Linked DNA regions of Lepisosteus oculatus. The protein of the gene in region 1 interacts with the protein of each later gene in a pairwise test. Links are inferred from orthologs where the notes say so. Each region holds a gene or a part of one and is shown on either strand. Other genes may lie near its edges.

The links.
Region 2: the proteins of pin1 (region 1) and retinoic acid-induced protein 1 interact in binary tests that used the Homo sapiens proteins (3 or more experiments, as listed by UniProt). The two-hybrid records come from large-scale screens. The link is inferred for Lepisosteus oculatus from reciprocal best matches to the Homo sapiens genes PIN1 and RAI1.
Region 3: the proteins of pin1 (region 1) and abi2b interact in binary tests that used the Homo sapiens proteins (3 or more experiments, as listed by UniProt). The link is inferred for Lepisosteus oculatus from reciprocal best matches to the Homo sapiens genes PIN1 and ABI2.
Region 4: the proteins of pin1 (region 1) and zmiz2 interact in binary tests that used the Homo sapiens proteins (3 or more experiments, as listed by UniProt). The two-hybrid records come from large-scale screens. The link is inferred for Lepisosteus oculatus from reciprocal best matches to the Homo sapiens genes PIN1 and ZMIZ2.

Annotation. Positions count from the first base shown.
Region 1 is NC_090706.1:15,084,562-15,091,444, reverse strand, and holds the start of pin1 (peptidyl-prolyl cis-trans isomerase NIMA-interacting 1), read left to right. Parts: upstream 1-3,868; 5' UTR 3,869-3,943; coding exon 3,944-4,001; intron 4,002-5,082; coding exon 5,083-5,280; intron 5,281-6,292; coding exon 6,293-6,403; intron 6,404-6,883. UniProt on the Homo sapiens protein: Peptidyl-prolyl cis/trans isomerase (PPIase) that binds to and isomerizes specific phosphorylated Ser/Thr-Pro (pSer/Thr-Pro) motifs.
Region 2 is NC_090714.1:17,528,538-17,536,158, reverse strand, and holds the start of retinoic acid-induced protein 1, read right to left. Parts: upstream 3,021-7,621; 5' UTR 2,940-3,020; intron 790-2,939; 5' UTR 767-789; coding exon 1-766. UniProt on the Homo sapiens protein: Transcriptional regulator of the circadian clock components: CLOCK, BMAL1, BMAL2, PER1/3, CRY1/2, NR1D1/2 and RORA/C. Positively regulates the transcriptional activity of CLOCK a core component of the circadian clock.
Region 3 is NC_090707.1:35,005,254-35,012,535, reverse strand, and holds the start of abi2b (abl interactor 2), read right to left. Parts: upstream 3,015-7,282; 5' UTR 2,894-3,014; coding exon 2,777-2,893; intron 2,675-2,776; exon of another isoform or gene 2,502-2,674; intron 1-2,501. UniProt on the Homo sapiens protein: Regulator of actin cytoskeleton dynamics underlying cell motility and adhesion. Functions as a component of the WAVE complex, which activates actin nucleating machinery Arp2/3 to drive lamellipodia formation.
Region 4 is NC_090697.1:69,338,017-69,345,616, reverse strand, and holds the start of zmiz2 (zinc finger MIZ domain-containing protein 2), read right to left. Parts: upstream 3,009-7,600; 5' UTR 2,387-3,008; intron 1-2,386. UniProt on the Homo sapiens protein: Increases ligand-dependent transcriptional activity of AR and other nuclear hormone receptors.

The DNA.
Region 1 (6,883 bases):
TATAAGTCCAGAAGCTTACCCAGTACTCCTTTGCAGGTTTTATAGGTAGACTTAAAATCTCAAAACCATGTTAATGCTTTCTAATTAAGATATTCAGAACGTAGCTGGAACAAAACCACTAAATAACACTGCCCAGCACAGACAAACCAAGTCCATAAAGACCATGTTGTATATAAATACCAGATTTTATTTTTAAAACAATATCAAAACAAAATATTTAGCAGAACAAAAGCCTGATGTTGAGACAATTTACTTCCTAATCATTAACAATGGAAAAAAATGTATCTTTGCTGCTTCAATACAAACTTGCATGTTCAGAAAGGGTTTACATCTGCGAGTTCAGCAAGGACTGAGGAATTTTACCATCCCTAAAGCAATTTGTGGCTCAGTATGTCTACTGGTAATACAGCTCCAGGTTCATTCCATCATGGATTTCATCTGTTTAGAGAAGCAAAATTAAGGAAAAAAGCACATTATGCCCTTGATGGGGCTCTGCTGCTTACATGCTTAGAACCAAAGCACTACTACTATAACAGAATGGAGGCTGAATCACAGGCTGCACAATAGATCAAAGGAAAAATCTGATAAGTCTTTGCAAATCCCCAGTCATGTTTTGCAACTAAATTAGTTTAATGTACAGTAAGTATTCACAACCTGCAATAGAAACTGTTAATCAACCTGTCAAATCCAAAGGTTGTTAAATAACCTTACTGAACATTTTCTCATCCCAGAGCCTGGCACTAAGGAGTCTTGATTGGGATGCTCTGGATAATTCATTTAAGACACAAGGTGCCAATGCTGATGTCTGAAATCACAGATGTGTGCAAGCTTCACAAAACTGACATGGTCACGTGCAGTTTGTGCTGCAAGTTGGGCTGAAATTTTACAGGTTCCTGGGTTCCTAGGATCTCCTGCTCACCAGTCTAAACAGCCTGTATTCATTATGCAAGCAAAAGCACCTCAAGGCTTTCAGCGGACCTTTCAAAATGCAAGAACCCAGCCTGCCCTGCCTGCACAACCATCACTCGATTAAACCAATCAATTCCATAACAGTTACTTTGCATTTGATCTCAATGGGATACATAATAGTTTTGCCACTTTTACTGCAGAAATTCATCACCAAATGCTAATGCTAGCTGTATGTATTTAGTTCAGCAAACTGGGCCAATGGATTATGCCAACAGCCATATCACCCTGCAACTCACAACTGGCAAACCACTAAAGCTAAGCAGGGGTGAGCATGATCAGTAACTGCATGTGAAACTAAGGTTTCTGCTGGAATAGGTATTAGAGAGGCCAGCAGGGGACGCTCACCCTGCAGTCTGTGAGGGTCTTAATGTCCCAGTATAGTGACGGGGACACTGTAATGTAGGAAGACACCATCCTTCGGATGGGACATAAAACTGAGGTACTGACTCGGTGGTCATTAAAAATCCCAGGGCGTTTCTTGAAACGTTTAGGGGTGTTACCCTGGTGTCCTGGCCAGAATTCCTCCTTTACCAATCATGGCCTCCTAATAATCCCCATGCCTGAACTGGCTTCATCACTCTGTTCTCCTCCCCCGAGAGCTGGTGTGTGGCGAGTGTACTGACACGCTATGGCTGCTGTAACATCATCCAGGTGGGGCTGCACACTGGTGGTGGTGGTGGTGGAGGGGAGTCCCCAATACTTAAACATTAAGTGGAGTGTCCAGAAAAGTGCAAGGAATTATTCAGAACAGGGAGGCTCATCTTAAACCTGATTGATATACCTTTACTTTATACATTCAAACAAAACGATTAAAAAAAAGGATACAGTCTCCTAACGATACATGGTCCTTGAATATAGTGTACCTGCAATGACAGAATTTAAGAGACAGGATTAAAAATGTTTTCAGTTGTGAAACAAAGCATTGAAAATGCTACTGGGTGAAAAAAAGACATCCTTCAAAACATTTAATATGCTTCTTACACTAAATGAAAGAAAGCTAACATTCTTTTACATGTCTTGGACATTCCAAGTGTATTGATAGGGAACAAAGGCATAAGGTGTTCACTACTCTGTTATCTTTACAGGTTTCTCCAAAATCCCATACTGCAGTCCCCTGTGACAGAATGACCTGTTTTTTCTGCAGAAAGGATAAATAAGTACTTGTCAATTTACCAATCTAGACCACTTTATCCTTGAGATACACACACAAATGCCCTAAAGGTACACATTAAAACAGCTTTTTGCAGTTCGGTATTCAAAGCATCCTCACCATTTCTTCAAGACGATTTTATCCCACCTGGTACCAGTCTGAGCAGCTATCAACTTCTTCAAGTCTCCGATCGTGTCGTCAGGGCTGGGCGCAGGAGTTAAGTGGAAACTTCAGAACTGGACACAAAGCCTCGTCTGAATAAGCTTTTTAGTCAAACCTCCTCTAGAAACAACTTCTCTAAAACTAGTGACCAGCAAATATGACAGTTGGAAGAGGAAAAGTTGGTTGAAGGAAAAACAGACTGGTTTCATTAACCGAAGAGGAAAACAACATCAAGACTGAAGCGGTAACTAAAAATAAAACTTTCTTTAGATAGATCACATATATTATTGTATTCCAGGTGAGGAAGCTAGCTTTTACTGAACGGCGTTAGGACACCGAGCTTTCACATTGGAGGCACAAATAGTGCAGTCAGCGTTTGTTTTTAGTTTTGAGACACTTGTTTTAACGCAATTACTGCCATCAAGGATACTTGCACTTCACCCTGACCTTCTTGCCCAGACGGTCGTTACACACCACTTCAATCATTGCGAGGCCGGAACCTGGAAATAAAGACGCAGAGCGCTTACAGTCGCAGCTGGGATCATGGCACAGACACGCTTGTAGTTCCTACAGCTACACGAATGTTATTTGCCGTCACAACTCTTCTTGTGCCGCAATGCCGATCCCTATGAGAATGAAACTGCTGCAGTCATGCATGATCTAATCACCCCCTCCTCGACGCTATCTGAATTAGAGACAACATTAATTTACCTGCACGTTTATTTACTTTACGGCACAATGCTGTGAACATCTTAAATGAGACTTTCCTTAGCTATGGAATGTCCTGAACACACTATAAAATGACAGCACTTTGTAAAGATCGCGATAAAATAGATCTACCTTTTGTTTCAACTAATCCACTTTAAATAATACACTTCTCTTCGCCCACCGAAAAAAATAACAGAATACCATACCAACACTGGCAGGAAGGATACCCGCTCTAAAACGGAAAAGGAAAGGACATTAACCAATGATAGACTACTTTCGGAATCTGACAGATGTATATGTTAGCCAATCCCTGTGTTCTTTTAATCCTGAAAGGCGGGGATTTGAGCATGTTAGTTTTCTGCCGTAAAGTGTATTAGATTAACGTGAATAACATCTCGTTTTGCGGGTAAATTGCAACTAACGCCATTTTGGCTCAGTCGTGTAACGTCCATCAGATGCTAAAATGTATCGAGTTGGAAGCCAACATGGCGGACACACAGACACAGCTTCACTTTAGTGTCTTTCTCTTAAAAACCTTAATGTCCATAACTACATTTTCGGCAATATTGTTGTTTCCAAAATCAGATAAAGACCGCGACATACAACTATTATAAATTAATTTTAATAGTGTTTAGATAAATTAACTAATTGTATAAAAGCAAGCCGTAGAAATTGCATATTAAAGGCAATACACCAGTAGATATGAACCGGCACCACCAGTTATTTGCAATGCGAACAACACAATGCAGTAGTTTTTTTTGTAGTTTGTATTCATTGCGGGCGCGGGCTTTTTTTTCCCTGGGAGACCAAATAGTGACAGCCCTTACTGCCCCCGACTATCCGTGTTGTCGAATAGGGTGGTAGGAAAAGCTGCCCGTCACTTTCGAGGCGGCCAGTTATAAAAGTAGTTTGTGTGAGAAGAGGGGGAGTTGGCCTCTGGTGTGCGCAGAGAAAATGGCAGACGACGAGAATTTACCTGCGGGGTGGGAGAAGCGAATGAGCCGCAGTTCAGGTAAATGAAACCCAGGCTCACCGAGATTATAATAACAAAGGGGCGGAAATCTTTTTGGTTGTTTTTTTTAACCCTGGGCGCTCCCAAATTGTAAACTTTTTTATTTATAAAAAAAAGTCCGTTATGCGCTAGCATTCGGATCCTGAAGAGCAGACTCTGATCACAATTAAAATTGTTAAGTAAGGCTGCAAATAATGTTTTTTTTAATTTCCCCCGCCGTGCAAAATGTTTGTTCACACGCACTGTGGGGTGCAGGAGATAGTTTCGTGTTTTGAATGCGTTGCGAATGAGTTGCTTAGAAAGCAACGGTGCAGAGCTTCTTTTTTGCGCCTTTGCCGAAAGAGGGTTTAAAATTGTGCCAAGCCGTCATTGATGGGGAAATATGAGTCTGTGGTTTTGCTTTTAAGCACATTTTTAAAATGAAAACACAAGAAAAGGGAAACGTTTTGAAAACGGGGAGGAGGGGGGCGGGGGTTATAAATCGCCCAAAACGCCCACTCCTTCAAACGTCCAGGCCAAGTCAGTCTCCTGTCCGGTTTTTTTCCCGTAATAAACAGGCTCATAAGATCGATTCGAAGGTTTGTTGACGGAAATGACCTTCCGTCGGGCGCAGCACATCCTTCGGTTTCTGTGTTTGTTTTGACGGATTCGTCTTCTGCGTCACGGCAGCAATGGGACCGCAATGGACGTGCGGGATAATGCCTCTTGGCTTCCAGACAGTCCAGTCACCTGCTTTCCGAATTGGGGAGACAAACTCAGTGTAATCAAAATACAGTTTGAGAAAGAGGACATCACTCGGTCCGGTCCAGGTCCGGTTCATTACCTATGACTCCTCTTGACTGGGAGCTCGTTACTGATGTGTACAATACACTTACACGCAGTCGTTGTGTTAGGGCACTCTGGAAGCTTTTAATTTTTATAAAGCTGTATGGGAGTTCAATACTTGGAATGCCCTTTATAAAAAGTATTTCTTCCTTTTTTTTAGGCTGCCCTCATATCTTTTTTTTTTTTTTTAGTGGTCTTATTTTCATTGGTTTCTGGCTTCTAGCTCACTCCTGATGTTCTCTCTCTCCCCCTGCAGGTCGGGTGTACTACTTCAATCACATCACCAACGCCAGCCAATGGGAGAGGCCCACTGGGGCCGGGGATGGCAAGGGGGAGCCCGAGAAGGTGCGCTGCTCCCACCTGCTGGTCAAGCACAACCAGTCCCGCCGGCCGTCGTCTTGGCGACAGGAGACCGTCACCCGGACGAAGGAGGAGGCCCTGGAACTCATACACCGTGAGCAGCCCAGGCCCGAGACTCGGGGCCCTCTCCGCCTATTAGCATGTGCATGCGCAGCTCTTGAGTCCTGCACACAGCAAAACTGACTCCTGTCCTGAGCCCCGCTGCGTTAGAATATGGCCATAAGAACAGTTACAAACGGGGGGTGGGGGAGAGGGAGAGCATTCAGCCCATCTAGCTAGCTTGATTGTCAGTAGCCAGTAATCCATGGATCTCAGCCAGCAGTTTCTTGCAAGAAGCCAAGAGGAATTGGCTTCAACAGCACGGCAGGGCAGCTTGTTCCATACTCCCACCACCCTTTGGGTAAAGAAGTGCCTCCTGTTCTTGGTTTTGTGTGCACTTCCCCTGGTTCGGGTTTCGCTGTTCAATGTGAAGAGCACCACTGGGCTGACTTTGTTGACGCCTTTGAAGATTTTGAAAGTCTGTATTGTTCCTTTTTGGTCTTCTCTGAAGACCTCAAAAGGTTCAGTTAATAATAATAATAATTGCTTACACTTATATAGCGCTTTTCTGGACACTCCACTCAAAGCGCTTTACAGGTAATGGGGACTCCTGTCCACCACCACCATGTGCAGCATCCACAGTTCCTTCAGCCCATCAGTGTCGGACGTTTCCTTAATCCCTGGAATAGATTTGGTTGGTCTTCTTTTTGATGTTTATCTTCTGGAGGAAGCCATCCTAGTAGAATTACCAGGAATAGAGTGCAAGACTGTGACAAATCACTGGGCACAAAAAAGAGGAGGCACAGGCATATCAGTATTTGGCAACATCTAAGTCAAAGAGTTCAAGTGAGCATTTAGTAAGTTGAGTGTTCTTAACTCTGCAGCTCTTACTTATGTCTCCTGAAATCACGTTTTTACTTGCAAATAAAACGCCGCTGCTCCATAGTCATGTACCGTTTTGAGGATGTCAGCGTTTGTGAGGAGGTCGCTCTGCTTTTCCTCTCCTTTCTCCAGGCCCTCAGGCCCCCTCGTAGTCTTACTGTCTCCCTCCCTTTTTCCTTTCCCAGAGTACATCGAGAAGATCAAGTCCGGGGAGGAGGAGTTTGAGAGCCTGGCGTCCCAGTTCAGCGACTGCAGCTCGGCGCGCAATGGCGGAGACCTGGGCACGTTCGGCCGAGGTGAGTCCCTGTCTGTCGCTGTCCTTCCGACTCCACGCCTCACGGCAGAGGTGCAGCGGTTCAGTGAGAAGTGAAACTGTGACGCTGGATCGTGATCCCTCTTTGGTCTTTTAGGACCAAGGACTTCTTTGTGTTTCTCCGTAAGGACTGTTGTGCTCACAGTCAGTCTGTGTAGGAGTATGTGAAGGCTAATTCCTTCTTCAGGCTTGACAGCCAAAACGTTTTCCTCTTTCTGTTTTTCAGGGCGGAGTTAAGCTCTACTTGTCCCTTTGCAGCCAGAGCAAGCTGACGTAGCTCCCCGCTCAGTCATCTATATAGAGATGTTACTTTGTAATGACAATCGCATTTTCAAGTGTGCTTTTGGCCCGAGAAGGAGGTGGGGATGATCAGTAACTTGAGTACGGTGGAGCGCAGGTGATGCCGGTCCTTATTTTGGCAGGAAGTGTTGAGCTCGTGTAATCGGCCTTCCTCCGTTTTCTT
Region 2 (7,621 bases), on another chromosome or scaffold:
TGTAGCTGCCCTGGGCTCTGTAGCCACTCTGCTTGATGCTGCTGCTCCCCAGCTGCCGGTTGTACTGGGAAGTTGGCGGCATGGCGTAACTCTTGTAGCAGTGGGGCGTCTGGCTGCACTTCTCCACGGCCGGGTAGGAGGGCGTTGAGGAGGAGAGAGACTGGGAGTGCTGGGGGAAGTGCATGGGCCCCTGGGTGTAGGTCATGGGGGACGGGGAGGTGTCCTGGGGCAGTTTCGCTTGGGGATGGGTGGTGTAGACGGGGGGGTTGGGCTGGGTGGGGTGGGCGCACTGGCTCTGGGAAATGGGGAGCAGGGTCTGGTCGAGGTACTGGCCCCCGCCGGGCCCGCCGCCGGCCGCGGGCTCCAGCCGGCCCACCAGCTCCTGCTCGTACTGGGGCAGGTGCGAGTGCGCGGAGTCGTCCCACTTCTGCGGCAGGTGCCCCTCGCTCATGTACTGGGCCGGGTACGCTGAGCCCAGGTGGCCACTGTAGCCGCCGGCGGAGGGCCCGCTGGGCAGGAGCTGGCCCGGCAGTTTGGTTCCCTTGTATTGCTTGTCCGCGGGGGCCGAGCCGCTGCCGTAGGCCGGGTAGGCTTGCTGGCTGTAGCAGTCTTTCGTCCCCGCGGCCGCGAGCGAATGTGCCTCGTAGCCCTGTCTGGTCTGGCTGTGATGATGTCTGTAATTCTCAAGGCGTGATAATTCATGTGTCTCCTGCTGGTAGCACTGCTGGTTGCCATGGAAACCACTCCGTTCTCTGAAGGACTGCATGACTCCGGCTCGGGCTCCTCTCTCTACAAACAAAACACAAGAGAGAGTGCTTACTTCCAGCTCCCCGCGCTTGTGTGCTTATATTTACCCCCCACCCCTCCTCTGTCTGTGGTATCGACTGACGTGAAACTCTCTTCGGAACGTTTTCGGGTGTCGCGTCCTCTCTTTAAGAGGGGCGAGCTGGTATCCCGCTCTGTGCTTTATGGGCCCACACACGCGTGTGGTGCTTGTCTATGGCATGACTCCGAAATACCTTCTACCTTGAAACACTCTTTATTGAACCGACTAGTTTCTTTAAAGGAAAAAATACAAGTGAGCATTCTAAGCACAAAAAATAATTCATTTGCACCGAAGCGCAGAAGCACTGAAGCACGCAAGCAAAGCTCCTGACTAGGGGGAAATGTTGTTCCCTGTTGAATTCCCGATGCTTTTGTGATGAGGGCTGGAGAAACCTGGAGATGCAGCCGCTGCCACAGCAAAGCAGAGTGATCTCTGTTTGCAGCACAAGTCCAGAGTCCCAGGCTGCTTCGGGCTGGTAGCTGCAGCGACATGCCAGAACCGTGAGATTCCCAGTCGCCACCCCTTCACCAAGGACGAGGTCGCTGGGAGGTTGGGGCCACTTTTAGACATGGCAGGAGTAGAGGCCAAGACAACATCGTTATCGCTCGGGCAGTGGGCAGCACGCCGGGTTCTCACATGTGGCCACGAAGGAAAAAGTAAAGTAAAATTCCACTGTCGTCTCTTGAACCGAGGGTGTGCGTAGTAAGAAATCTACATGTTGTGAGACGATGAATATTAATTAGCTCTGGCTGTTGCACAGCACCAGAAAGTCAACCTGTCTGCAGAGATTTCTGATCCTGTTCTGTGCATGTAAATCGGCCGTGGAAAGATGTTACAATTACTGTATGTTAAGGCTTTGGCCACTGAAAGGTTTCTATCTACCTGTCTCTAACTGGCCTTATCCATTTATGTTCTCACAGCTGAACCCTATACAGAGTCACGAGGGAGCTGGAGCCCATCTCGGAAAGCAACAGGCACAAGGCTGGGTCCAGCGCGGGGCACACAGACACACACTGGCACCAGGGCCGGCTGTCCCAGACAGCGCTTCGGCTGTTGGCAAGTCTCTGGACTGTGGGAGGAAACCCACGCCAACACGGGGAGAACATATCAACTCCACACAGACAGCACCCCTGGTCTGGAATCGAACCCAGACCAGACCAGACCCAGACTTGGCCAGCTTCCTTGCTAGCTAGTTGGCTCCAGCGTTCTGATTATCTTGCAGAGCCATGAAGAATAAACAGCGCAGAGTGAACAAGGGTTGGTGATGCACACAAGGGGAGACGTGGAAATGAAGAAGGCAGGAGCACCACCTCAATCCCCAGAGCAGGAGAGTGCTCTCGTTTTAAATCGACCTCTCCAGCCTGCCCCTCACTCCCTGTGCTGCTGTTGGATATTCTTATCTGAACTGCTTGCCTTTTAGGACCTGTGGGAGGCAGCTGATCAGGAATCATTTTGACTCTGCAGACAGAGTATTGCATTTTGTTCTTTGCACTTCAGTACTGAGCCTGCTGAGAGATACAATAAGCATCGATTGCGTTCCTCTTATCTGTCTCTCTTTGCTGTGCTTTCTGCACCTGCTGGGCCACCGCATTTCCTGGTTGACAGCAATATGTGTGGCAGCGCCCTGCTGTCCGCTGGTATAGCTGTGCTCCCAGTCCTCTCCAGATTCCTGCAGCCGGGACATGCTGGTGACTTCCTGTTTATGTGCCAGACTGTGCAACCTTGATTGATTTTGCACAGGTGCCCCTCAGAGCCTTGGCATAGCCCAACCTGGGCTGTGTGACAATGAAGAGCAATGCTATTTTTGTCTCAGTACTGACCGTAATCTGAATGATATTCTATTGTATTTCATTATACTGCAAGATGAGCGTGATGCTGTGTCCTTTTGGAAGGTAAGATGACTGTTCAGTAGGATACATTTTCAAACTCTTAAAATCCCAAATTGGATTAACTCACAAACACGAAACGGCCGTCCTTTGTGGAACAGACATAAATGGACTTTATATGCATCAGGTATTACAGCTGATAGCTGACAGCATTCCAGGAAGATACAATCACTAAGTGCTGGCTTCCAGTTTCACCTGGCCTGAAAGCAGGCTTTAGATGAACTCACACGGTGTTTGAGCCTTGGAGTCTCGAATGAGAGAGCGCATCAGTCCAAACATGCAGTTCAGCTTTTCGGGATATTCCGGTCCCCACCGTTCCACAACCTTGCCCTGCCCAGCTCAGTATTGCTTCATTAGCTGCTAATTTCTGCAATTATGCACAGCAGCGGAGGAGTGCAGTCCATCACAGCGCTGGTGCCCGAGCCCGGGAGGGTGGCGAGGAATGTGAGCAGATCCCTGGCTCAGAGGGAGGCGGAATCCGATCGTTCTGCTTTCTGGGAGATAATCCGGCACGCACGGAATGTGGCGGCCTCGCCTGATCCCATCATCCCTCTGGCAGCCTGAGACGGGATTTATCCTCCTCCTCCGCCTCCCCCTGCCCGGGTCTCTGAGTGACGCCGGAGCCCCAGCGGGACTCCAGCGCACCTCCCTGCTCACAGCGCAGTCGCCTGCTGGAGCTGCTGGTGGGACTGGGAGCACAGGGCTCCTCCAGGACCAGACACAGCCCAGCACAGCTCTGCCCTCGTTTTGTACTGCATATTTACGACCTTGGAATATGCTAATTCTTCTGTTTTTATTTAAAGAGCCTGTTCTAAATGAGATTGTGTTTTCCCCCCACTTTCTTTCCAGTGTGTTTGTATCATGAAATTACAAAATGCTTCTAGTTGGATGTGTCACACAGCTTGGTTACTCTCCAGGAGTATTCTCTGATCCCCACATCATTTGCAATTATTCTGAATGTGGTTTTATTTTTTTTCACGGACGAAGGACCAGCTGCTGCTGTCGCTGGCCCGATCCCTGCGCCCGGCTTCCTCGGCCGGGGGAGACAGCAGGGCTGCAGCTGAGAAGAGGCTGATCTGAGGAAGAGCTGATTAGCTGTCGGTAGCGTTGCAGTGCTCACATTCATGGAAAGGCTCTCCTTCGAACCCGGGACAGAGTTAAGAGTAGTGCAGCCCCAGCCACCACCAGCGCAGGTGGGCAGTGGCAGCAGGGGACTCAGCTGTCCACCCCAGCGGCCAGCGCTGTCCACTCTGGACCTCAGGGGTCACCACTGTCCACTCCAGACTCAGGACCTCAGCGGCCGGCGCTGTCCACCTCAGCTGCTCTCTGGACCTCAGCGGACGGCGCTGTCCACTCCAGCTGCTCTCTGGACCTCAGCGGCCGGCGCTGTCCACTCCAGCTGCTCTCTGGACCTCAGCGGCCGGCGCTGTCCACTCCAGCTGCTCTCTGGACCTCAGTGGCCGGCGCTGTCCACTCCAGCTGCTCTCTGGACCTCAGCGGCCGGCGCTGTCCACCTCAGCTGCTCTCTGGACCTCAGCGGACGGCGCTGTCCACTCCAGCTGCTCTCTGGACCTCAGCGGCCGGCGCTGTCCACTCCAGCTGCTCTCTGGACCTCAGCGGCCGGCGCTGTCCACTCCAGCTGCTCTCTGGACCTCAGTGGCCGGCGCTGTCCACCTCAGCTGCTCTCCAAACTGTGTCATCAAGCGCCAGATTGTGAAAACAACCTCCGGCACACACGGAGCCCCTCTCCAGAAGGTGCTGTCAGCTCCCAGCACTTCAGGGGTTCAGGTTACTTGTAAACCTGTATTCAGAGCTGGAAACACAGTTTCATTTTGTTTCTAAAGGTCTAATTAAGCAAATTGCCAGTGTGACTGAGTGATGGAGTAATTGAAACCGCAGTAGGAAGGGAATGCGGAAGACAGCGGGAGCCCCTGCACTAGGGCTGGGGAAACCCCGGAGACCGGAGCCGAACCGGGCCGGGTCACCAGTCCCTGGACTGGACCTGGGGGCAGGCTGTCGGCCAGACCTGAGGCTCACCGCAGTCAATCACAGAACTACAGAGTCGGTTCTGGAGAATTAGAACAGTAGAGACATAAACGGGAGTAAAAAACAGGGCAAATGATAGTAATTGAACAAGCAATAGAGAGAAAATTGCTGTCTGATGTGCGCCAATCTAATTACGGTATGCTTGTAATTAGTGTTAAGTATTTATCTTTTAAGTTAAGGAATTCATTAGAGGATTATTAATGACCTCCCTCTCTAGTTGTGCGCAGTACACCGAGAACATGGCTGTTCCTCAGCCGTGCCCGCCCTGGGGGTGTGTTTCGCCCGACGCGCTCCGATGCGTCATCCGGGAGCAGACCCGGCCGCCCTGCACGAACACCCGGATCGGGACGTGGAGGCCCGTTTCTGGGCTAAGAAAACCCGTTCTCCTGCCCTCGGTTCGGTTTCGCACGCCGAGAGCGACGCCGCGCAGGGCTGTGTGGAGAGGGCAGGTTCCCGGGGGGCAGAAACAGCTCGGTATTCAACAGGGGGCACTACCTCATCTAACCAGCAGGGGGCATCTCATCAGCCCAGCGGACGGAGTGGCTCTGCGGTACTGAGCCCTGGTATACAGTCCTGTGGTTGTGCTCTGCACACGACGAAACGTGGCGCCCTATACAGAATTAAAAGAGTGAAGGATTAATTGAGCTATTAGTGTCGGGAAAATGTCCTGGTACATTGCTGTTTTCAAATTTGTGAATTTGTAGGGCGCACCTCAAATTTCGTTTTGCCATGGAGAGTAAGGAAACGTTCTTATTTTTTAGAATTCGTGTCTGGTTTTACCCAGCCTGCGTGAAACCCCACGGCCGCCGGTCTCAGACTCGCTCCTCTCCGGCCCGCCTCGCCACCGCGAACACGAGGCGCAGACCAGCTGGGGCTCTCGGCAGAGCGACAGCCCGGTCCGGGCCTGAGGGCCGGAGAGCGGCTCCACCACACGCACACAACACCAGCGATCAGGGACGCTTCGCTTCCTACAAAACGGCAATTGATATTCGAGACACAGCCAGGACTGCTTATACGACAGCCAATGGGAGGCTAGAAGACCAGCTCAGCGACGTGTGGGGATCACAGGAATGTTCTTTTTCTGGCGTGCAGTCAGATGAGTCTCCCCCTGACAGTGTCAAGGTGTTCGGGGCATTGCTGCTGTTACAGGAAACAGGCAGAGCTCCTCGCTTCGCTTTAATAAACACAGCGCCGCGCTGACAGAAGCCCTGTCGGGGTACAGACTGGTTCCCTGGGCGCTACCTGCCGCTCCAGGTGGGTAACCTGCGCACCACGTGCTCGGTGCGATACAGCAAAGGGAGTGACATATTGTAGTGCTGTGTCTCGACCCTGTATTTAATGAAGAACGGGCATCATACACCTTTACACCGCTCTCACTCTCGTATGCCCACAAACAAGGCTTCTTCATGCAGTGTGATTCGATTTGCACAGGGCTGATGGAAAACGTACTTAAAATGACAATCCTGAATCGATGCTCGCTTAATCGATGGATTCTGCTGCTGCCCGATGGTTGATAAGGGCTTTGCGCACGTCAGCACAGACTCCAATCGACACCTCCTGCGCCCAGCTGGCGCGGCCGCTGCAGGTGGACAGTCCGGCCGAGGCCGTTTCCCTCACGGGATTAAGAAAGTCTCTACCAGCGGGGTCCCCCTCTCTCACTTCCCGAGCGGGGTGCGAGGGGATGTACCCCTGCAAGCCTGTGGAGGCGAATGAGCTTCCCGGTCCCCAGGGACAGCTCGTGCGCCCGGCGTTGCGGGACGAGGGAGGGCGCGAGGCTGCCTTGGCAACGCTCCGAGCGTGTTCCTCGCGACTGGCGGCCGACGCGCGCCGCTTCCCCTCCTAGCAGCGCTCACACGCACCGGTGACATACTGCACACCTTACAAAACAAACAAACTAACAAACTAACTAACAAAAACGAATGGGGTGTCACGGATGCATCGTTCTTCGCCCTTCGCTTTGCATGCTGCAGGTAGATACAGGACGAAGGGCCTGTGGGAAAAAACGGTGCATTTCGCCGCAAACCAATCACAGCCCTGCACGAGCGCGTCTTGTCGCACACGCACGGGAGCAGCGGGGCTGCGCGCGAGAGGGGCCCAGGCCGGCCTCGCGGCCCTTTCCCCCAGAACAACTTTAAACCGTCGTCACGAATTCAAATAATCAAAGACATCGTCATTGTGATTACTATGATTACTATTATGAAACAGCAAAGGCCTCTGGGAAAGCCGGCAGCGTCGCGGAGCGGAGAGGGCGGAGAGTTGCGGAGGGAGTTCGGGTCCGAACCTCTCGCGGGGCACCTGAATCCCGGACTCTGGACCGGAACCAGGGGTGGGAGAAGTAAGAGCGTCACGTTTATTCGACGGTACCGCGGGGCTGCGCTGACCGGGCGGCGTGAGGCCCGCTATTCCGAGACGTGACGTGGTCCCGTCGAGTATAAACAAACGCGCCTCCGGTTTCGCTGGCTGTGGCTCGGCTCGGCTCGGCTCGGCTCCAGACCCGTTTCTAAACCTTCCAAGCCGAGGACACACGGACGAAGCCCAGAAATAGGAAATGAGCAAGCCTGCCGCTTCTCGGGGTCGGAGGGGACAGGCCCTGGTCAGACCTCACTGGAGGAGGAGCAGCAGGGAGCCGCACGAATGCAGGTAAAGGGTTATTCCGGGCCGAGAGAGTGTTTCAGCTGTGGAGCCACACAGCAGAAGAAGGCTCCACAGCTGAAACACTCTGTTCTCGTCTTTTCAGTATGTATTGAACTTTTACCTGTGTGCCCCCAAGTGTAGCAGCGTGCTCACAGTGGATCTGCAGACACGCTTTTAATAGTTCCCACTTAATCATAGTGTTATTCTGGATGAATTTACTTCATTATTG
Region 3 (7,282 bases), on another chromosome or scaffold:
CAACCTTCCCAGCAATTTCCCCACAGAGACTAAAGAAACTGAAACAGACAGATGTTCCATCCTACGAAGCTTACCTCACAAGGAAAATTATATACATGCCACATCTACAATCTGTATATAAATACCATAATGGGATGCTTTGTGTCTACATATTTTTGTCTTTTGCCCAACATTACACAAACCCCCGCTACAATGCTGAGAAAAGAAACACATCCTCCCTTTATTACAAAACACAAATCGCTGTAAATTATGGCACACGGGACCAACTGTTTTAAGATCACATTCTCTCACGAGCGCTTAATTCAACGTTGCCCACGACAGACCCTTCAGCACTTCTGACTCCGGTGCAAATCGGGAATCAACCTTCGGAATAGCTTCCACATTCCTTGATAACACAAGTCCCTTGAGGAGAAAGGGACAAAAAAAAGTTCAAATGGGCTATTTTCAGGATGGCAGAGAAGGAGGTTCAAGACACAGGAGATTAAGCTGTGGACATTGCTTTGTACCCTTGCATCCAGATAAAGCACTCAGCCATGGGTAAAGGCAGCTATGAGTTTTGAACCAGTCCCTCTTTGGTTTCAGGGAAAAATGACAATTTTGAGGGTCCTGTCTCCAGCAACAAAATCACAAACGAAACGCAAGAACTAAAGCGAAATCATGGGGGCTTTGTGGCAAACTGCCTTTTAAAATTTCCCGTCTACCCAAACAATGATGTTAAAGCGTCCATTTACCTTAATTAACCACACACATTACTGGAGTGGTATTTTAACGTTAAAGTTAAGTAACATAGGGGAGAAAGTCATATTGCTGTTTAGAAACTGGGGCTGATAAAAAGGAGTAAAATTGTGGATTATTATCAAATTAACTTTAAATTGTGTTCATTAGAGCCAAGACTCGCCTATAACCATGTAAATACAGACACAGAACCCAAAGTGTTCAATATCAAGATAATGAAACCGCGTCCCTCGTCGAATAACCATTACAATTCACATTTATGTGTAAAAACTGAAAAGCGTATAACCCCTTCATGCATTTATGCACAATCTGAAATCCTTCCTGTTGGAAATTAACCCTTGAAAGAAAACGAGAAAAATCTAGCACGCGCGATTGTGCATGCACAATCAAATACGATACTTGATATTTTTAATAGACGTATTTTGTATATCAACCGATACGTGTGGGTTTTCTGACACGCCGTTGCGTCACAACCCATATTCCCGGGGGAAAACAAATTATTGATACTGCTCAGTCACCTTAAAAACCAATCACAGCCGGGACCCGATTAATATGCTTAGCTCACCAGCAATCACATTAAAATGTTCTTCAAAAAGACATCAGATTAGCTTTTCTAAAATCCGACGAATTTGTGTAATGCTGTCGAGCAAGACCCCGAGGGCATTTTGTGTCAGAGAGGTCAACCCCTTAATTCGACAGAAATAAAAAACAATGTAACATAAATACAGTTGGCATAAATACTTGATTCGGGCTGAGAACGTTTTATTCTAGTGCGTTCAGGTCACCGAAAAGTGAACCCTCGGTTGATTTATATTTATAGTTTTCAATTAGCGACCATCGCGGCAAACACCAGGAGGCAAGAGGTATTTGATTATGTAGCAGCTGACCTCATCGATGGCAATTTTTTTAAAGATGCTGCTGCTGCTGCTACTACTACTACAGTAAATTTTTAAAAAATACATCTACCGCAACTCGAAACAGCTCGCAAGCGTCGCCGACATCACAATATCGCAACTTCAAAGGCACAGATGATCAACTCCGGAGCAAAATAAACGTCTAAAATCCCCATTTGTTTCTCATCACCCGCAAGTGGGGGGTCAAAAATGGTCTGGCTAGTCACAGATTTCGGCTTCAATGTATTAATCACCGGACTGTAATCATGATCAGATGCACTGGGTTGTTTTAAACTCTCCGTTCCACCAAAACGGACGCGATATCTCTTTGCAAAATGCAGCGAAACCAAGTTATTTCTTTTCTGTGCTGCGTGCGTTTGAAATGCAAGGCTGGGGCTGCCACTCTTTAAACCTATAGTATGATCTTCTACATCCTGCATGCTGGCAGTTTATTCCAAGACACCCTCCTAGAAAATAACACACCACCGCATCAAGCAAGCCATGATTGACAGATGACAAACCTGTTTATTAAATAACACCGTGCCGCCATGCACACATAACTCGGCAGAAAAAAAAAATGTTCCAGTAGCTATGCACTTTTTGATCTTTATTGATTTCAATTTGAACTTTAAAAAAACTATTTAAAGAGACATTTTTACAGGTTTACGCTGATACTGACGCTCCCTGTATATCCCTGCATCTGGCATATGCTTCCTAATAGGGGAGTTTTTTTTCCTCCAAAATCTATACGAATCTAGATATTTAACGTTCTGATTTATATCAGTTTTTACTTTATCGTGTTACAACTTACTGAATCATTCCCAGTCCGTTTCAAATGTTCAACCCCCACCGTACGCATCCATACACACTTACCACACGTCTTCACCACAAGCACTACATTCCTCAAACTACACCCGCATTCCTGGAAACTGAACATATGTCAATGCAAACACACCGAATGGGTCCAAAAACCTCTGCAGCAAAGGAAAGAGCTGTAATCTGGACTTGAGCAAAACATCGCAAAGGGGAGCACAACATGAGAGCATCAGCAATATCCCTCCTCTCGTTTTCCACAGCCTTTTCCAACCCGAGACAGGTCGCTCGCCTCTCAACGCCAGCCCGTTTACCGAAAACCCACTCCAACTTACCTGTATGTAGTTGTTTTCGCAGTAATCTGCGACTCTTTCGAGGTTGGTGTAACTATCGAGCAAAGCTCTCCGTCCTGCCGGAATTTCTTCTTCCAAAAGCATCTGTAGCTCCGCCATCTTTACATCTTTAACACACTGAAGCGCTGGCAACACAGGAAGCAGGGAGGCATACAACTTCCTCTCCTCCGATGTGGGAAAGGTGTAGTTACTCAACTGGAGAAGGTTTTTTGGGAGGGAGCGAGGAGAACGATGTCAGGAAGTTTGACACTTAAGTGTGTGCTGTCACCTGTTAAATGACGTGAAATATAAATAGGTTTGCATCCACAGAGGTTTTAAGACGCTAATAAAAAGTGGTGTTTTTGCTACCCATCCTAATAGAGACACACAAATCACAATCACCGTTGTACTCAATGATTTTGTGTCATTTATCTTCACATTTCTTAGAGGTTTATAACTGTTTGGAGGAAACTGGAACGAAACATATTATCATACCCCGTTCCAGCGTTATATTCGCAGAAGCTTTTGAATAACTTTGCATTTGTTCATTGCAATTCAAAGCCTTGGCTGTTGAAAGATGGCAACAGTTGTACGTACATCATTTTTATCATTCATTTATGGTTTTAACTGAGAATGTGTGGCCCTGCAGTAGCATACTGTAGATGCACATTGAAGCCTAATCTGGCTTTATCAGCTAGTCCAATCTTTTGTGGGATGTTGTAAAAAAAATTGCCTGTTGTAGACCCAGTTATCAATAACTGTTCCTAGTATTGTATCTTCCCCTTCTTCATTAGAAATAACTTACAAAACTAAAGAGAACGAGAAGCCATGATTACCGGCAGCCTAAGGCAATATGAATAAGGGGTCATAGTATTTGGAGGTCAAAATGTGGACCTTATCCTTTAAATTCTGGTTTCATTGATGAAGATGCGTTTTGGTAGTTTTAAGAGATGAATGTTTCTTTCCCATCTTTCATTCAGCCACTTGTGCAAGAGATAGCACAGTATGTTGTATGCTGTCATTACTGTGCACCAATTAATCTTTAATGTCATAGGGGTTATCTAGAGCAACATGAGTCACACCTTGAGTCAATGCCTTTTCCAAATAAGCATGTCCTGGCATGTTTAACACAGGATTTAAGCACTCACACACCTCAGAACAATTTATTGTGTTGAAGCTGGCTGAGAAAATGAAAGGTGTGTGTTGCTTGGAGAGGCTTGACTCCTTTCGTTACACTATCAGCCTTTTTGTTGATGCAAATCAAAGGTTAAGGTGAAAATAGAATAGTGCTAGAAAAGCTGATACATTTCTCCTAGTTTAGTTGCTTTATTAAAACTAATTGGTGATACATTGATGGAAACGTTTACTAAGATGATACAGGTAGGTCTATGAATGGTGGTGGTCGAGGGGAGTCCCCATTACCTGTAAAGCGCTTTGAGTGGAGTGTCCAGAAAAGCGCTATATAAGTGTAAGCAATTATTATTATTATTATATGAGCACGGTTGAGTATTTTGATAATCATTGCCTAATAATGCTGGAGGACCAGTAGAGGGAGCTGCTTCTTTTGTTGACATCCATTCGTACTTTCCTCACAGTTTTAAGCCCTTCATGCTACATTCTTTCTGTGGCTTTACTTACACTATAAACTATAATATCAGAATTTAAAACCGAATAAACTGTATAAGAAAATCTGTATACCCGGCAATTTTTGGTTTAAGCACAGTGAAAAAAGTACAGAGGTACTATTTCGATTTACACGTAGCATCACAGAAACAGCCGTTGTGGAAAATCAGAAATATGATCTTCTGCAAACAATTAAAAAAAATAATCCGTTTTTTTTTTCAGGTATGAACTGTTGCTGGAAAATTGTGGAGTTTCATCTGTTGTCTTTGGATTGCAAAAAAATAGAAATGCTCAAACTGTTCTTCAGGTAATTTGGCAGAATTAGTTTACAGTCAAGTCTTCATTGCTGAGAACCAAATGCCATATTCCCTTTTGCTGACTGCTAAATACAGTTTTAGACAAATCAAATTTGAGGCCATTTCAGTTGTGTCCAGATTCATGTCTAACAAACATTCTCCGACTCTGCTGTTTTCTTAGGAAAATGTCTCAGAACTTTTCTGCCTTACTATTATGGAGAATAAGCTTGCATTCGACTTCAAGGTTGGTTTGAAGAAGCTTAAAGTTTAGCTTAAAATGACTTATTTCTGTTTTACTTTTCTCAATTTTATTTAAAGTAATACAGGACACCAGCTCACTCTTCTGATTATGTAGACAGGCAGGTTTTCGTGTGGCATCTAATCAGATTCCGCATCTCATCTGTAGCATTCCTCCTGTCTGCAAAAAAAATGTAGTTTCGAATAAGACAAAAGAACATAAAAAGGGAGTAAATATAAGCTAAAGTCATGGAGGGAGTGTGCAACTGAATTGCTTTTTTGGTTTTCACTTTAAAAACCTGGACAAGGAAAACTGCATTTTTGCAGCCCAGAGCTAAAGAGACACTTTTCCTCTGCAAATAAAAAAGGTCTTATTTTAATCAGACAAAGGGACATTTAGCCTATGTCTCTTTAGGTACAAGAACTGCTGTATGGTCATCAAAATATAAAAATAAGGGACTCTCAGGCCTCTCTTCTAAAAATGTATTCTTTCCAATTGGCTTATGGCCTATAAATTGATGAGACAGTGTTAAATTAGTTAATTCTTTAATAATTAGCAAGCTGCTTTTAACTACCTTGCTCCAGTCAGTTTCCAATGAACCTACCAAGAACACATTTCGGAATCACTGACTCTGTCTCAGCAACTTAACATGGTTAATAAACCTGGCCTTCGCATCTGAAAAATAAAGGATTGCTGTGAACTCACACTTACATTTGCTCGTTCCATACTCCAACAGCCCTTTGTGCAAAGAACAGCCTCTTTTTGTCAGTTTTCAATGCACTCCCACAGAGTTTTAACTTGTGCTGGGTCCTCCGATTTATGTTTCACAAGTCCAGTGGGTTGAGTTTGTCACTTCTTTTGAGGATTGTGAAAACTGGGACCAGGATCAGGCACATTATTCTCTGTTCAAACATTCAAACAAAAAACTCATTGCTTTAGCCAGTGCCAAGTCTGTTAATCCACCTGGATGCTCTTCTCTGGACATTCCAGAAAATAAATGTTAAATCGTGCTTTATTCCTTTCACTACAACATAAACAACTAACATAAAAGACACAACATGCATTTGTCAGGAAAAGTGAATTTTGTTAACACTTGGCCCTAAGCTGACTCTTAGTAGAATATAAAGAAACTCAGACATGTAATCACTTTTTTATACTGTATATGGTCACATTTGTCATTGTTTACACTCTCTTATTAAAATGACTATTGGTTTTAGTTAAATATTATTTGAAGGCATGAATGTCTCATTTAACATTAAATTAATATGCAGTGCTGTATGGATTAAATTTTAATTAAGTGGCATTTACTGCTTCATTTTACACTGGTGGTTTTTCCTGGGGCAATGGGTAGCTCCAGGAGTAGCTACAGGGACAGCTTGTCTGTATCGAAGGATCCTGGGTTAACTCACAGAAACAAAAGACTTCCTCCCCAAGCCCATCTGTTTGTAAAATGAGCATTCTCTCAGCTACAGTGATATTTGGACCTAAAGTTCTGCTTTAAAGTTAATTTTAATTATTCAACATTGCATTTTTGTTTGCATTTTAATTAGAGATTAATTAATACTGGCATTAGGGTCTGCTACAACACTTACCAGACAATGCTGTCTCTTTGGACCAGAGTGATGCATAGACATAGAGACAGTGTGCACCACTGTTCCTAGGCTGATCCCAAACAGCTGTGCACACTGGCTGAATGCCTCTTTGGTTGGATGTCCTTGGTTTGATGCACAAATGGAGAAGCTTAGGGTCTCCCAGTGTCATGTGAGCATTCACACGTGTGAGTTTTCACAGCACACAAATGGCAAATAGTTCTTTCCTGTACACCTTCCTGAGGCAACCATGAGACTTCTTGTGGTACTACAGAAGTACAGGGGTATTAATAAATGAGATGTAAATGGGGTGTCCCAGTGTAAAATGAGTGAATACTTAACAAGCAATGTCTGGTTATCTGAGTTAAACCACGTTTATCAGTCTAAACTAATAATAATATTAGTAGTAAAATAATTATAACATAATTATAAACTAATCATATGGTAGTAGTGGAGACCTCATGTGTCAAACTCTCCCATTAGCAACAGCATTTTATTTCTGTTTTAGTGTTTTTCTTAGCTTTCACAAATGCATCAAACTATCACCTAAAGCACACACATGAAGATGCAGTTTTATTTTTTCCAGTGACACCATCTTTTTTTCTGCTCCATTAATTCTCTACAATCAGAATGTAGTGTTCCAGCACCCTAACGGATACTGCCAAGAGGTACATTTCATTTCATCGCACAGTTGTTTGTTGAGAGAGAACTGCTTTGATGTTGCTGAGTTCATAGATAAGGTAAGGAGAGGTATACACAGTCA
Region 4 (7,600 bases), on another chromosome or scaffold:
CACAATTGTCCTAGCACGTCCATCCACCCAGCCCCCCCGAGCTGGAAAGACGTGGCAAGACTGACCAGTCGGACCACTGGCAGCGGGGCGGGGCCGAGCCGAGCTCAGGACACTCCTCATTTAGGAGAACAGGGAAAAAAAGATGGGAGAGCTACCAGATCTGTGTGTGTGTGTGAGAGAGAGGGGTGTTCAATGAGTTGGCAAGGCCATCCACATTCAGCCTAATCAAACTTGCCTCTCGAAAAGCTCGGCAGGCGACGGTTTCGCAGCAGACAGGACAGCCTTGACTGAGCTGGGCAGAGGGCACAAGCGAGTCTCACCCTGACGCACAGGAGAGAAAGGGCACAATCCCGAAACTATCCGCACAGCGCCAGCGCGTGCATTTCAACCCCGCGTCTGAAAGAAACAGTGGCCACACAAAATTCATTTCACCCCAGACATCGCCGAGTCCCTTGATCAGAGAACTGGTACTTCGCCAGGGCGTTTCAGCCCCTCCAAGAGAAATGAGTCCCACAGCAGGATACACACAGCACTGACCTGTCTCGGGAGCTTTTATTACAATAAGCACTAAAGCACATAAGTATGAAAGCATCATGAACTACTACACAGTGTAACAGAACACAGCAGCACTCACTTAGAGTTAACTTTTTTTTTATTCCAAAGTCACCTCACAAAATATTACTCACTCTAACTCCTACAAACAAAAAATACCCTCATGTCACCCCAGGAGTGATCTATTACTAAATCACTTACTGAAAGCAAAATGTCACACCCGAGCATAAGTCTGCACTAGCATATTTCTCTCGACAGGTCTTAAGCACAGAGTTTGGCACAAAATGTCATGTACCGTTATCAATAATTCACAGCACAGTCAGCAACCCCGGGTCGAACGCTACCCACCCACATGGACAGAGTGAGCTCAGGGTCCTCGCACTCGTGAAAACACAAAACGCCATCTGAACTTTAGCATATTATGAGTAATCAACACTGAGAGCCGCAGCCGTCTCTGAACAAAACCGAGATGCAGCCCTGCTCGCAGATGCTAACAGGTAACAGATTAGTCAATGGCATTTGGGCAGTCGTCTCCATTTCTGAGCGAACTCTTTTTAAAACTCTTGCAGTGACAAACGATAGGGTCAGGCGGTCAGTCCGATGACGTTTTTGCACAGGGCTTTTAACAAGTCACCGACACACGCTGCCTGAGTTTTGGTGGACAGCCATGGGCGAGTGATCCGTGCTGTGAGGAGCAGGTGGAGGTGTGGTATCGACCCAGCTGTCCGCCACAAGACGCGATCGGATGAGGGGGTTCAGTGCGCTGGTGGACGCCGTCTCAAAAGTGGGCTACAATACGATAATCGTAGCCCTCCGAGAACAAGAAAGTCTGTGCTGAATTCCGAGGAGACGACAAAAAAAAGTGTACACAAAATTGCCTCCATAGCCAACTACCGACAAGATACATGCTCAACACCTGGAAACTTTCTACTGTAATAACTACTCCATCTACCAGAGAAAGCGTACTCTACAGCCAAGAACTTAGATCTTAACAGTTTCTGACTCGCTCTGCTGAATTCTTTTGACGGGCTTCATCATCAGAAGCCAACATCCTTGGGGGAGAAAAACAAAACTACGAAACTGGCCAATCTTGCTTTTCGTCACGAAACCGCGGCATCATTCACGTCGCATGCTGGGTACAGGTCTCCAGAGCTCGGCAGGTATCCAACCAGCACCATTTAAAATACCCTCGCTACAGCACAAAAACATTTCTCACGGCATCCCCATCTCGAGTGACAAGACGCAGAAAAGTACGAGGAGGGTAAATAGCACAAAAAAAGACCCCCCAAAAAACGTGACTGCCAGACATCGGGCAGGCAGGTCGTACTCAGGCAGGCTAGGTACAGCCAGCTCAGTCGCACAGTAACGTGTGCCCAGAATGAAATAACAATTGGAAGACATTTTGTACGTCCTTGTAATACCAACACACACTGATGTACGGGAACTAGTTCTCTCTTTCTTTCTTTCCTTCTTAGAAATGTGGTATTTCCCAAAGGCACACCAGGTGTCTCGACCGCGGGGCCTTTGTTAAAGCGCCTGTAACACACCGCGAACTACACGAAAACGACCATTAAAAACGACGGCAAAAAAAAAAACTGTTTTCTTATTTCGGATTTCTCACACTCTAACAACAACAAAAAAATCAAAGCCCACGCCGATCCGGTATCGCAGATCGGGTTGTCCGTTCATTCGCCCTCTCCCCGGAGCACGATTATAAATCAATACATCGTGGTAAAAACAAAACAAAACCACACGCACACACTCATATACGCACATCAAACACGGAGCAGCCGCCGATGGCAGCAACAATGTGGACGCAGCGTCAGTCTCTTACCTTGGACGCGAACTGCCTGCGGTCGCCGCGCGCCGGGGTTCAGACTGCAGGAATCTCCGGGCAGCAGCACGCGCTACTCCTTTTAAATATTGCACTGCGCGGAAGGCGAGAGCAGCTTCTCCTCCGTCCTCCACTCCCCACTCGGAACGGTGCGTGTTCTTTTTTTTAACCTTACCTCCCCCCCCCCTCCTCCGCTCCTCTCCTCCTTTTCCCCCTTTTTCGCTCGCAGTCCTCGATTACCTCGGCTAAGTTGTATTTTCCATGTCGTTATTTCTTGTAATCCTTCGTTTTCCCCCCCTGTTCTCGGCTCTCGTTATTTAGCAACGCGACAGAGCTCCGGAGCTCAGCCTGGACGCGGGTGGCTTGCGGGGAGCTTCGCTAGAGATCGTCCCCGGACACTGCATGAGTGGAGAGTGAGAGTTAGCCTACATACAACGCGACTCGTTTCGCTGCTCTGTGCACAGGCAGTATTTGCCTCGACTCCACGGCTTTACCTCCCTCGGTGTTGCACAATGGGTTGCTATAATTTATTCATGAGATCATGAGGGATGTTGGTTCTCTGTCGGAGGAGGTAAAAAAAGACACTTTTTTTTCTTCGCCTTCCTCACTGCCTTCCCGTCGTCCGCAGTCGCAACTAACCGATCGCCTATCCGATCACAGCTAGAGGACGTTCGCTCCCTCCCCTAGTTTCTCTTGGCTCCGAGCAAACCCCACGGTGTTGAATGAAACGCGGGTCATTTTGGCTCCTGAAACAGAGCCTGTTCCCGTTCCTTGATCTAATCCCGAAGCTAGAGCCAACATGGCTGTCTGTTGTGAGTTGAAGGTGGGGGTGTCGAGGACTGCAGAGTTTTGGGGTTTTCGGAAACGGCGTGATTTCTAACTTGCCCGTCGACCCTTTTGAGGTGGAAAAAGGAATAACATTTGAAATGTGTTGTAACCGCGTTATTCTATCACCGCACATTTGTTTTAAGTGCAAAATAATTGAAGTCTTATACAAACATTCGGCATTTAAAACAAAATAATTTCCCACTAATAAATGATGCATTTGTGTGTGTCCGTTATTCAAAGTGAATTAAAAACAACCACAACACATCAGGAAGACATCTTACCATGTTATTTGGACACTGACGTTTCATTAAGAAGTACCATCTTTGGTGTAATTAATCTCAATACTTTTGATTGAAACGTATACATTCTTTTACACAACGATAATTTTTAGTAACAGTGATGATTAAAATGCAGTCTCACAATAACCAATGATGAAGAATGTCATCATAAGGAAATCTGGGTTTAAAAATAAGTGGGAGACGGTGTGCTATGATCACAAAATAACACACTAACAAATGGTGTCCCTGTACAAAACCCATACTGTACATATTGAAATACCTCACATTTTAATGTCAAAAATCGGCTCCAATCATGTGAGCTGTTCTTCTAACAACTGTGATTGATATAGCACAAACCACTAAACAGGCTAATGTTATTTCTTCTGTAATATCTGTGTTGACAATAACAAATGATAAAACACAAAGTAGAGTAGAGGAGTTTATTGCCACATGTACATGTACATTGGAATTCTTCTTCACGTGTTTATCTCAGTACAGCAAACAACACAGTCCAACAGAAAACACCTCACAATGTAGACAGTACATTACAAAATGTTTCAGAATAGAAAGTGATAGTGTGTACAGTCAATAAACAACCAGAACAATACAAACACGGTAGAGAACAATTTATACGTGGTGAACAAAAACACACGGTAGCCCAAGTCAAAAGTGTATAGTGCAGAGGTGCATTGCGTTCTGGGACATTGCACAGTTAGCTGTTTATGATGCGCACTACCATAATTTAGAAGCTGTTCTTAGGACGTTACTAGAGGACACAAGAAGAATCTACATAGAAATGGATATAAAACTGCGAACGGAGGGTATTTCTTTATGCAAAGGCATGTGGCAATGTGGAACAAGCTACCCAGCCATGCTGAAAGAGAAACATACTCTTCCTCCAAGAAATGGCTGGACGAGTTCTTCTGATCAATTAGCTGTTAATTTCCAGGATGGGTCTCCTCTCGTTTCCAACTGCTGTTACGCTCTGATATTGTGTTTTTGTTCACCACGTATAAATTGTTCTCTATAAATTGGCTTAATTACTCTGCTCTCCTCCCCACTGATGGCTGATGTGTGGTGGGCGTTCTGGCGCACTATGGCTGCCGTCGCATCATCCAGGTGGATGCTGCACATTGGTGGTGGTGGAGGGGATCCCCATTGCCTGTAAAGCGCTTTGAGTGGAGTGTCCAGAAAAGCGCTATATAAATGTAAGCAATTATTATTAATTATTATAGCTATAAAGATTCATGAATGTAATGTCCTTCTTTACAAGTTTGTGTCTTGTCTTTGTGCGCACCTTGTCATGGTGCCTTATGCCTCCTGTTTGCCCACTGCTGCCTAAGAAAATAATTGACATCCTTTCTGACATGACCTTCCCTGAAAAGGGCAAGATTAGTCCTGACAAATTAAACCTTTCATTTACTCAACGTGTGATCTCTTTCAAATCTTACCACTAGGCAACCACTAGGTATTGCATTGATTTCAAGAGGAGAAGGCTACATTACTAATCAGTATGGCTCCCTATGTGCCAGATCATCAAATACCCACTTTGCAATTACGAGCTCCATACCTACAAATGGAGAGTAAGTAGGTTCATACTGGAGTGTATAAATACATAAAGTTTCCTCTCAGGTTTAGCCGTAAGTGCCTCTTGAGTTTAAAGTTATTAATGCATTGAAATCCATGCCTTGGATGAAGAAAATAAGTTTCCATGTTTTGTACTGTAGGCGTTGGATGCTTTGGGTGTTTTTATGTGCAGTGCTTTCAGTCAATAAACTCATTGGCTTTGGAACTGTCTTCCTGAAAGGACAATGAAGGCTAAAATGTCCTTTCTGGATATACTTAATGGAAATTGAGTTTATTTTATTTGAAATGTCATTGCCTTTGAGAACGCCCTGGCTCTGCTTTCACAACTGATTTACTGTAAATTGATTTGCTGTTTTCAGTGAACGCTGCTGCCACTGGGCTGTACCTGAGTGTCAGGCACAGAAGGCCTACAGTACTAGCATGGAGCCGAGTTCCTGGTGGTGGTCAACTCTGCTGAACTGGCTCGGTCCACCTTTCACCCAGCACATGTCAGCATGGGGCAGGAGGATGCAGAGAGTGTCCAGCTCACCCCCGGCAGCCTACCTGCCAGCATGTCAGCACTGCAGCTTGAATAGCAGGGGGGACACTGGGGAGGAGTTACCAGGCCATGAACAAACACAAAGAGAAGGTCAAGAAAGGTCACACCCAGTCACACCCTCATCAGGACTCAACAACACCGGGGAAAATTCCATCTGAGAGGGAGAGAAAAATCTCAGGAAAGTAGAGAGACACAGACAAGGAGATAAGGAGCAGGACTGGAGATAATGACTGAGAAAGGAGACAGACAAACAGAAACGAGGGGAAGAAGAAGAAGAAAGGCTTGCACAAGAGTACATGACAAACACATCTTACCTTAACCATCTCCCACATCCTTTCCACTCAAACAGAAAGCTACATTGAAGGCTACACCATGTGAGCCAAGCAAATCCTGCCTCAGGAACAGTGCCAATATTTCATTGACACAGGTTAAACTCTGGCTTCTTTCTCAGTAATTTCATACAGATTTTCTGACTTGACCCACAGCTGTTCCAAGATTTTACATCACCTCAGTGGTAAGGATCAGCTGATCCATTATTAATTACTTGATTAACAAACTTGTTCGCTACACTAGGTTTCCCAGAGTCCCTCAGCTAGTGGCTTACTCCATTTAGACTGACATATGAGCAAATAACACTGTACCACTAATATTAGCAGTACCACACAGATATACCATCCACCAGGACACAAAACACTTTTGCACATGAAAATCACTGACTAAATCAGTAAAAATCTCTTTGCATTGAGAAATATCTTGTCTTCTTAATTACGATTGAAAGATGACTACAGCTTTGTATATGCAGTATTCAGTGCTTCTAGTATCCACAACATTCCTGCCATTTTAATGCTAATACTATTAAATATAGAACTTCATCTTTCCCATGCTTGGGGCATGTTGTTGATCTCTTCCTTGCCGAAGACCCCAGGGAAATATTCATTCATCAGCCATTTCCTTTATCATCTCAGAAACTTTGCCATTATCATAATCTCTGAGACATAATTTTTATCCTGCACCATTCTTTTGCCGACATGATACGTGTCACAACATGACACAATACTTAACAAAATAAAACTTTATTTATTACTCTCCATTGCATTTATTTTTCTTTCCATTTTCTTTTTTTCTCTTTCTTGTGTTCTGGGATATTCTGTTTTAACCAAACCCTATATGGTTGGAAATATTCACTTAACTGTGCTCCATTTCTTTAACTGGATGCTGTACTTTTTGAATCACTCTATAAAGTACCTCCTTTCTCCTCACATTTTTCTTAGTTTATTACACTATATGGACAACTGCTTCTGATGGGAGTTACTCATGGGATTAAAGTAAAAAGAAATAATCAAAGTATTGCCATGCATTCTATGTAAAGTTTCAAAAATGAAATGTAAAAAAATGTGGTCCATTTTATGATAGTTACCACAGTTACCTAATGGTTCTCTCATCTCTGTTTTCCTCACCCTGTCTTGTTATAGATGATTAAAACGACATATTTATTCCTTACCCTAGCGTCCTATGACAAGCTCACTAAGCTGTTGTATACGTGAATTGGATATTTAAAAATGGGAAAAAAAGTTAAACGATTAACTATGCACTTGTGAAGTCCTTAATCTATTTTGGGGATATAAGTGCGCGGGTATGCTTTAGCCTTAATTACTCATTTACCTACGTAAGGGTTTCAGTTGAACTGTTTCTCCCTCTTACAAAACGTGGAAAATTGCACGCGGCGCAAGCCACAAATTTAAATGTTCACATTTAAACATGTAGTTGTTGAGGATCTGTTCTTTGTTACGCTTCCTTAACGTCTGAAATTGTGGTTCCACCTTTACAAAAAAGAACAGTCTCTAAGACATCGAGTCAATAAGGCACTTAACCAAGCGAGGCCGGAATGGCCTGTACCACATCCACACATGAGAGGTGCAAGCGTTCGCAAATTTTATTGAGAAATTGTAAACACCTGCGTGTCCTCGGTAATACATGGGCATT